Arabidopsis thaliana: one gene and its partner. The protein of the gene in region 2 interacts with the protein of the main gene of each other region in a pairwise test. Each region holds a gene or a part of one and is shown on either strand. Other genes may lie near its edges.

Region 1 (5,367 bases), 2.3 Mb from region 2:
TAGAGGCTGATGCATCAGGAATGGTCTGGGGGCAGTTTTAATGCAAGACAATAGACCAATTGCTTGTTTTAGCCATGGTCTCACATCTAAAGAGCAGCTTAAACCAGTTTATGAGAGGGAGTTAATGGCGATTGTGTTATCAATTCAAAAGTGGAAACACTATCTGATGGGTCGCCGATTTGTGTTACACACGGATCAGAAGAGTTTAAAGTTTTTGCAGGAACAAAGAGAGGTGTCAATGGATTATCAGAAATGGCTCACTAAGCTTTTGCACTATGAATTTGACATTCTATACAAACTTGGGGTTGATAACAAGGCGGCTGATGGGTTATCTAGAATGGTACAACCAACTGGGTCATTCTCGTCAATGTTGTTAATGGCGTTTACAGTGCCCACAGTTCTCCAGTTGCATGATCTCTATGAAGAAATAGATTCTAATGCTCATCTGCAACACTTGGTTAAAGAATGTCTATCAGCTAAACAAGGGACTAGTGCCTATACTGTGAAAGAAGGCAGATTATGGAAGAAACAGAGATTGATCATTCCTAAAGACTCAAAGTTCTTACCACTCATACTTGCTGAATATCATAGTGGCCTGTTGGGTGGTCATTCGGGTGTGTTGAAGACAATGAAACGTATTCAACAATCATTTCATTGGGAAGGTATGATGAAGGATATTCAGAAATTTGTTGCTAAGTGTGAAATGTGTCAACGACAGAAATACTCCACCTTATCTCCGGCTGGGTTGTTACAACCTTTACCAATTCCAACGCAGGTTTGGGAAGACATTTCCTTGGACTTTGTTGAAGGGCTGCCTGGTTCTCACGGAAAAAAATGTCATTTTGGTGGTGGTAGACAGATTAAGCAAATATGGTCATTTCATTGGTCTCAAACATCCTTTCAATGCAGTTGATGTGGCTAGAATTTTTATTCACGAGGTAGTGAAGCTGCACGGGTTCCCTGCATCGATAGTTTCTGATAGGGATAACACGTTTTTGAGTTCCTTTTGGAAAGACTGCTTCAAACTATCAGGCACTAAGTTGAAATACAGCACTGCTTTCCATCCGCAAACAGATGGCCAGACAGAGGTGTTGAATCGCACATTGGAGACTTATTTGCGATGCTTTGCTTCAGCTCATCCTAAGACTTGGTTCCAATACTTACCTAGGGCTGAATTGTGGTATAACTCTTCTTTTCATACAACTATCAAAACAACACCTTTTAAGGTCTTGTATGGCAGAGATCCTCCACCAATTATGCGTTTTGAAGCTAATTCTACTAAGAATTGTGAGTTAGAAGGGTTACTCAAGCAGAGGGATTTGATGTTGGCCGATATTAAAGAGCATTTGGTGAATGCACAGCAGTTAATGAAAAATAACGATGATAAACATAGAAGAGAAGTTGAGTTTGATACACGGAATAGGGTGTTCTTGAAGCTAAGACCATATCGTCAAAATTCTGTGACAAAGAGAGTGTGTCAGAAGTTGGCAGCGAAGTATTTTGGTCCGTTTGAGATCATGGAACGCATTGGGAAAGTTGCTTATAGGCTGAAACTTCCAGAGGGTTCTAAAATACACCTTGTTTTTCATGTGTCTCAGTTGAAACAGGTTTTGGGTGACCACCATCAAGTCATTCCATTACCGGAAGTGTTGACTGCAGATAATGAGTTTGTGGTTGTGCCTGAAGCTGTGCTGGAGACTCGTTACAATGAGGATGGACTCTTAGAAGCGTTGGTACATTGGCAAGGTCTTCCGGTTCATGAGGATACATGGGAGATAGCCAAGGACTTGAAGAAACAGTTTCCAGGTTTAGCGCTTCAGGACAAGCTGCATGTTGAAGGGGGGGGGGGGGAGGGGGTATTGATAAGCCCTTAATAGTGTATACAAGGAGGAAGAGGCGTGAAGCACGTGCGAATGAAGATGGTGCTGAGGAGCACGTGCGCTGAAGAAGAAGTCACACGTGTGAAGTGTATATATTGAGACTTAGCTTTCTTTAGAAGATTTATGCATTTTGTTTGTAACTGCCTGTGACGTATGTGTCTGGGTTTGTGAGAGTAATGATCTAGATTTGTGTTTTAGAGCTCTCTGTATCGAACAAATTGTATTGACTCTTTCAGATAATAAGTTTTACAGTTTTCTTGTTATCAGAAGACCTGCAATTTCTAGATTAATTTTCATCAATTTTTTCTCCTTTTAATATTATTATAAAATATTATATATCTTTATTTGCGTGATATGGAGAATATGATAGATTAGCTATGTGTTCTGGTGAATCGATTCTGAGATTAGCTACCAGAACAAATAGTAAAACAACATCGTTTGCAAAGTGTTTTTTCAAATCACGCAAATAAAGTTACATAGCCACAGATGCAGGGTCCGATTCTGGTAGCTATATGTTTTTTGTATTATTTATTTTAATACAAAAACGATGTTGTTTTACTATTTGACAGAAAATGTTATTGTTGACTTTATACGTTAAATTGATCTGTTAGTTGATTATCTAATATCTTTTATTTGGCAAAATCGAAAAAAATTAATAATTTACTTTGATGATTTTATCATTACAGGTAAAGTTGATGCTTTGTTTCGACACTTTTGGCATAATAATTTTAATGACATTTTTTCGGTATAAAAACTATAATAATTTAACAATATCAACAATAAAGTTTTTATTTATCTATCTATCCAATTGGAGACGAATCATATCGAGCGATGGATTTGGCAGAACTGTGGGCGATTTTCGGACCCGGATTCTCCGGCGCCGTTTTCGGAACCGGGTGGTGGTTTTGGGTCGACGCCGTCGTTTGCAGTTCCATCCAAGTTCCCTTCGTCCATTACCTTCCCGGTAAATATATCTAACTCTCGATAATTTATCAATTAGGGTTTCCGAATTTTGAGCGATTTTGGTCCGTTGGATTTGGGGATTTCGCAGGCATATTCGCTTCTCTCGGAGCTTTGATGTTCAATTGCGTCAGAAAAGAAGACATTGATTACTCTCCTTACGACGAAGGCGAGTGGAGGTTAGTTTTTCAAATTGATCTGAGTCAACATAAGAGCTTGGTTACTTCTTGTTTAAATCTGTAATTCTGTGGAAAGTAGAAGGTAGTTGAGATAAGTGTACAAATTTTAGCTGATTTTTGTGACTGATCCATTTAGTTTGAAGTATTTGAGTGATCATTGCTTCTATAAGTGTTGAAGTATTCATGATTTGTGTTTTATGGATTTGGATTGAAGCTTATTTATAGCGTATGTCGTTGAATTTGTTTCATTCGCTCTGCTTCTGATTCTGTTTTTGATCAAGATAAGAGTTAAGAGCTTGGTTACTTCGTGTTTCTAATCTGTATTTTTTGTGTAAACTAGAAGATACTTGAGAGATCTTGTGTGTTTCATTTATGTGAAATCAAGTTTTCGCTGAGATTTGCGGTTAGTTTAAACTGTTTCTGATTTGTGTATTTATGTATTTGGATTCTTGGCTACAGATTGAAGCTATGGCTTTTTCATAGCGTATGTCGTAGCGTTTGTTTCCCTAGCTGTTTATGTTGGCTTGCTGATACAGTTATTTAATCAAGGATAAGATTTAAGAGCTTGGTTACTAAGTGTTTCTAATCTGTATTTCTGTGTAAACTAGAAGATACTTGAGAAATCTTGTGTGTTTATAACCCTCATTATCTGAAATCAAGTTTTCGCTGACATTTGCGGTTAGTTTCAACTGTTTCTGATTTGTGTTTTTATGTATTTGGATTCTTGGCTACAGATTGAAGCTGTGGCTTTTCATAGCGTATGTCGTAGCATTTGTTTCCTTAGCTGCTTCTGTTGGCTTGCTGATTCAAGATTCGGTTGTGAAGACTGGGCCTTCAACTTGGACTGGTGTGGCTGGTGTCTTTCAATGTGTATTTGTATTGATAAGGTAAAGCTATTCTATGCACTCTTCTGGTTGTGCATTTCTTGAAACACTAAACACTGCTTTTTAGATTGGGAAATTGAACACAAATACTCCTACAAAATTACCCAAACTTGTACAAATAGATTTAGTGATTCTTACAATTTTAGTCATAGTCCTTTGGATTCTAACACTTCCATTCTTAACTAATGTGGCTGTCTTCTTTTCGCATCTGGACTAAAACTTTTCGTTAGAATCATCTTTCATAATCACAATAGATTTTGTACTGGTAACAGTAACTTCCAAACCTAGCAAATGTGATTTGAATTGCAATCAGTGAAGCATCCTAACCTTTTTGTTTTCGTATACTGCATATCATCTTATACTAATCTATTTGTATATATCTCTGGTGTCTGGTCACTGACCACAATTTTTTTGACAGTGGGCTAATGTATTGGACATCGCACTCAGAGTAGCGCACAGGCACATACTTCATCTCCGACTCAGATTCATACTGTGACAACTTACAAGTTCCTCTCGTTTCTCTACTATGTAAATTCCTGTGTCTTGTCTTGTCACCTTGGCATTGTGTGCGAGATTCCTCTGTTGCATCAGTGTGTGTTTCTGTTAAAACTTTGTGTGAATGTTATTGAAAATACTCCAAATCAATCAGTTGTCCAAAGAGAACGCAAATAGGCAAACCTTTTAAATTACCTAGAAAAGAAAACTCAAAATCATGTGATCAGCAAGACGAGGTACATGCTCAATGAGATAAGTTCGCAGGCCGGCATGCTAACACGTTGGGCTTAGTGGGTAGACTTGGACACATTATTTCTGCCGGCAGTCTTAGCAGACCAGCCTGTCGCAGTCTTACAAATATAAATGCCTATTGCGGATTGGCCTGTTTGGCACCTCTATTGGGTTTATCCAATGTTTTGTGTTGATGAAGAAACTCTTTCGCAATTATATATTCTCCTAAGAGCGAACTCTTGCTCATCAAACATTAGAGACAAGAGAAAAAGACAAAAAGAGGAACACGTGTGTGAGAGCTGAGCCATTTTTTTTTCAGACCAAAGAAAGATCTACAAAGTCTGAAGAGGGCAGGACACTCATATGGCAACTCAAAGCCTCATCAGCTTTATTTGCACTATTTGCAAATCATCAAAACAAACAAACAAAAACCCCTCCCTGCCTTTCTCCTCTCCCATTGCCAAAGTAGTAGCTAAGCTTTTCTCAGGAACAAAAAGACCAAAAGAAGAAAAATATATTAAAAAAGAAATTAGAAACTATCTTTCCAAAAACCAGTACTTTCTTCAGTTTTGTAAAGTTGGGTTCAGGAGTCTTAAGCTACATCCTCTCTTGCTTCATGTATCATGGATAGTCTCTCCGGAAATAACGGCCTCAGCTCCTTGTACTGATCAAACAAAACAAAGAACATAACCATTATTAATATTTCTGAGTTATAATATGAGAGAGAGAGAGAGAGAG
Region 2 (4,761 bases):
CCATACTCGTCCAAGTAACTACATTCTTCTCACTCATATCCCCAAACAATAGTTTCGCTTCCTCCATCCCATCATTCTCAATATACCCTTTAATCATAGCGTTCCACGACACAACATCTCTACTAGGCATAGCATCAAACACCTGTTTTGCCTTCTCCATATCACCATTCCTAATCAAACCCGTTACCAAAGTGTTCCACGAAACCACATTTCTCTCAGGCATTTCATCGAACAACTCAACTGCATCTTCACTCCTTCCGTCGTCACATAGCGCAGTAAGCATCACAGTCCAAGAAACAACATTCTTCGGCATTTCCCTAAACAATGTCCAAGCCTCATTCATTCTCCTACATTTAACATAACCCGTCAACATCGCATTACAAGTAACGATATTCCTCTCAGGCATTACTTCAAACAAAACCCTTGCTTCATCCAAGTATCCAGTTTTCGCGTACTTACTAAGAAGCGAAGTCCAGTAAACAACACGGTTGATACTTCCTCTCTGAGGAATTTTGTCGAGCAAGTGGCGTGCATGTACAAGACCTCCCTCAGATAAACGACGAAGTATAAGAGCTTCTTCATTAGAGAAACCTCGACGATAGCTTCCGTAATTCGGTATCTTATCTCCATAGTATCGACGACAAGATATTGAAGATCTGAGAGATAATTTTGAGAGAAAGCCACAAACTTTCTTTACACAGAGAGCTCGCATTCAAACACTTTTCACAGCTTCTTTATCTAAAAGACTCAGTTTTTCAATATGCTTTTGTAAAGAAAATTTATATATATTCCACCAAATAATAAATATGTTCTATACATCAAAACGTAACAAAACCACCCAAAAAAAAAATCATTCATACATACACTTGACACACAAACTCTTAAACTTGTGAAAATCCAATCAGTGAGTCATTCCATAGAAACAAGATGTTTTCGTTTCGAAGCATCAATCGAACGGGGAAGTGATAAAAGGCTGAGACTTTGTTGAGGTTTAAACAAATGATGATGAATTTGTGTGTGTCTTTTTAAATGTAGCTGTAATAGTTGTCACTGGCATCTCCTATGCAAATGTAACCCAAAATAGCCACGAGGAAGACAACGTAGGATGAGAGATCAAGGGCTAATGCGCCCCAACCGATGAGTCCGGCGTGTTTTAGAATCGATGGTATCGCGACGCTTCCAACTGCTGATGCACCAGTCAAGAACTTGGCTGCATTGATCCAACTGCATAAAAGAAAATGTTCATGTAAGCTCAGCGAGTTTCTTTGATATACCTAGACTTAGAAAGTCGATAATTGTAGTTGTGGGTTCACTTGGAATGTAACGTAAATGCAAATGCAAACCTAAACAAACAATGGAGGCCTGTATATAAATTGCTTACCTATTATCTGACTCGTTGAATAGAGATGTACTGTCTGATCCACCAAAGAAGAGCAAAGGCATTGGGAGGAGCACATACATTATAACTGCAAAGCAATATCAGATTCTGATTAACCGCAAGAAAGAGTTTAAAATCCATCACCATTGATATAATAATGGTTTTTCCAAGTTCCCTGACACTTTTTATGTAACCAAACAAGATTTAAAACAGACTACTTTCATCGATATAAAATGCAGTTTGCAAGACTAAAGATCGAACCAACAAAGAGATATTGGAGGTCGAGCGAAACAACTCACCACTTAGCATTGGCCACCAGTTATTGAACAGAGCACAAGCCTGGAACAAAATTAGCAACAAAGGGTTTAAACACAAGTATGAATCTACTATTGGCAGGAGAAGCATAAACAGGCAGGATCAAAACTTGAAAGAATCTCTTGGGGGATACCAGAATCTGCAACACAATCCCTGTAGATACAAGGATTGCTAAGAAAGCTATCTTCCCCATATCCAAACAAGTGCGCAGGTATCCAGGTACGTCTGCCATTGACAAGTCCTTCCACGATAAACCTGAAAGCTAATAATTAGAGAGAGACTTAAGTTTTTTGAGTTTCTAATGATAACGTCAAGCTATTAACGTTTACTAAGACCTTCAAAGATAAAATCAGTGAGCCAATCTTCAATTAAACATCAAAAGAATCCCCAAGAAAGTATCACTAAATATCTGATTTTTCTACTTCTCCATTCGCTAACTAACTGTGACAAAAATAATTATTTTCCAAAAATTTGAGAAAACTTCTCATTCTTCTATTCTTTTCTTTTTTGAAGAAGGTTTGAATTCGACAAAGCTCAACTACTTCCAAGAAATTCGAAGAAAATCTGATATTACTGATACAGTGATACCAATCCCAATCGCCAGAATTGATTTCACACGGATCCAAAGTTCAAAGAAAAAGGGGAAAATCACACAACAATAGCAACAATTTGAAGAATTTCAACCAGATAGATGAGAATCATACCGACCAAGTTTAGCCGATCAAATCTTTTTTTTTCACGAACCCGACTGTTGTTGTTGATTCGCTTCAAATATCAAATTTTTCAGACATTAATCATAGGTAAACCCTTCTGTCTTTCTGTTTTTGTAATATCGGAACTTCTATCAGCTGTGGTCGAGTCCATCGTAATATTGGTAAGCCCTTTGATGATGATCGGCCACGTGTGTACCAAACCCGATACGGTTTGACCTTATTTAGTCCGGTCCAGTCATGTCTGTTGCAGAACCACAGCAGGTGTGAGTTGGCAAGTGTGGAATCAAGTGACCAATAAAAAAGATTTAGAAATGACGCATGGAGGCTAATAACGGGCAGATGTGAGAAGGCCGTTAGAAGCTATAAGAGACTAAGAGTCATGAGCAGATTATTTCCATCATCATCAAGAATCATTTGTAAAAATCTAAAAACCCAAAAACAATTCATAACTAAGTTCTCTCATCTCGAGAGCTAACGCTTTATCATTTTGGTGTTTTAGGAACATCGGAGTGATTGTTACGTTTATTGATCGTTGATCGGAGAAGTGAAGTTGTTCAAATGAGAATCGGTGACTTTGATGTATTAATGTCCAACCCAAAATCTTAGTATTAACTCAAATTGGTACTTTTTAGTGTGTAAAGTAATCCCATTTACCTATTTATACTGATTTTTTTTATATAAAACAAACTTTTTTTGTTTATTTATGTTGTTGAGAGTGATTTTCCGACTACTAATCTGACTGCGTGTAAAGTAATCTGACTACTGATTTTTTTTATATAAAACAAACTTTTTTTGTTTATTTATGTTGTTGAGAGTGATTTTCCGACTACTAATCTGACTACTAATTTTTTGTAAAAATCTAAAAACCCAAAAACAATTCATAACTAAGTTCTCTCATCTCGAGAGCTAACGCTTTATCATTTTGGTGTTTTAGGAACATCGGAGTGATTGTTACGTTTATTGATCGTTGATCGGAGAAGTGAAGTTGTTCAAATGAGAATCGGTGACTTTGATGTATTAATGTCCAACCCAAAATCTTAGTATTAACTCAAATTGGTACTTTTTAGTGTGTAAAGTAATCCCATTTACCTATTTATACTGATTTTTTTTATATAAAACAAACTTTTTTTGTTTATTTATGTTGTTGAGAGTGATTTTCCGACTACTAATCTGACTGCGTGTAAAGTAATCTGACTACTGATTTTTTTTATATAAAACAAACTTTTTTTGTTTATTTATGTTGTTGAGAGTGATTTTCCGACTACTAATCTGACTGCGTGTAAAGTAATCTGACTACTGATTTTTTTTATATAAAACAAACTTTTTTTGTTTATTTATGTTGTTGAGAGTGATTTTCCGACTACTAATCTGACTACTAATTTTTTGTAAAAATCTAAAAACCCAAAAACAATTCATAACTAAGTTCTCTCATCTCGAGAGCTAACGCTTTATCATTTTGGTGTTTTAGGAACATCGGAGTGATTGTTACGTTTATTGATCGTTGATCGGAGAAGTGAAGTTGTTCAAATGAGAATCGGTGACTTTGATGTATTAATGTCCAACCCAAAATCTTAGTATTAACTCAAATTGGTACTTTTTAGTGTGTAAAGTAATCCCATTTACCTATTTATACTGATTTTTTTTATATAAAACAAACTTTTTTTGTTTATTTATGTTGTTGAGAGTGATTTTCCGAATAAAATTTTGTCAAAATCCTTCATACAATGTGATAATTTTTTTGGTTTTTCGAAATGATCATTATGAGATTATCAATTCTAACAATTAAACTTTGAAAACAACATTTTTATAAACCGAATTTCTAAATTATTTTTTGGATATTTTGACGGACAAGGTAATAAAAAATTGATAAGATATTTAACGCAGATCATAAACATACAAAATACGTTTTCTCGATAAAAATATTGTTTAACCCACAGAACAGTCTTGGTTCGTGAAAGCTCGTGACAATTTCGTAGGATAGACAAATCCTTTAAGCTGCCTTTTAGGCGATGAACAAAGCATTTTCATTTTCGTGTTAATTTCGCTCTATCATAGCTTCCTTTTGTAAACAAATCGAACGGACTACACAAATCTTCAATTATTTTCAGAAAAGATTTTATACGTAAATATTAAAAGTGCTTGTAAATTTAACTTCAAAAAAATAAAACTAAAGCTTTGTATTTTGTAATGTCTTGGAGTCTTTAGGACATATAGACATGTGTAGTACATTCCATTCCACACAAAACTAATTTTAATTGCCGACAGAAATCAGAAAGGATAAAGAATCTGTAAACTGAAATTATTCAACGACACACGTATTCGTAGTTGGGCTCCTGAAAAACTAAAATGGCCTAT

The links. Proteins that work in one complex are often made in the same cells at the same time.
Region 1: the proteins of AT1G32410 (region 2) and AT1G36980 interact in a two-hybrid assay, tested with the Arabidopsis thaliana proteins (one large-scale study listed by BioGRID).

What each region holds. Positions count from the first base shown.
Region 1 is NC_003070.9:14,022,373-14,027,739, forward strand, and holds AT1G36980 (transmembrane 50A-like protein), read left to right. Parts: upstream 1-2,261; 5' UTR 2,262-2,384; intron 2,385-2,566; 5' UTR 2,567-2,711; coding exon 2,712-2,844; intron 2,845-2,931; coding exon 2,932-3,019; intron 3,020-3,753; coding exon 3,754-3,906; intron 3,907-4,321; coding exon 4,322-4,355; 3' UTR 4,356-4,579; downstream 4,580-5,367. Other genes in the region: AT1G36990 (C-jun-amino-terminal kinase-interacting protein), read right to left, coding at 5,222-5,293.
Region 2 is NC_003070.9:11,691,562-11,696,322, reverse strand, and holds AT1G32410 (Vacuolar protein sorting 55 (VPS55) family protein), read right to left. Parts: upstream 2,525-4,761; 5' UTR 2,398-2,524; intron 1,956-2,397; 5' UTR 1,926-1,955; coding exon 1,827-1,925; intron 1,718-1,826; coding exon 1,678-1,717; intron 1,467-1,677; coding exon 1,382-1,466; intron 1,225-1,381; coding exon 1,026-1,224; 3' UTR 748-1,025; downstream 1-747. Other genes in the region: AT1G32415 (pentatricopeptide (PPR) repeat-containing protein), read right to left, coding at 1-712. UniProt on the Arabidopsis thaliana protein: Involved in endosomal protein transport.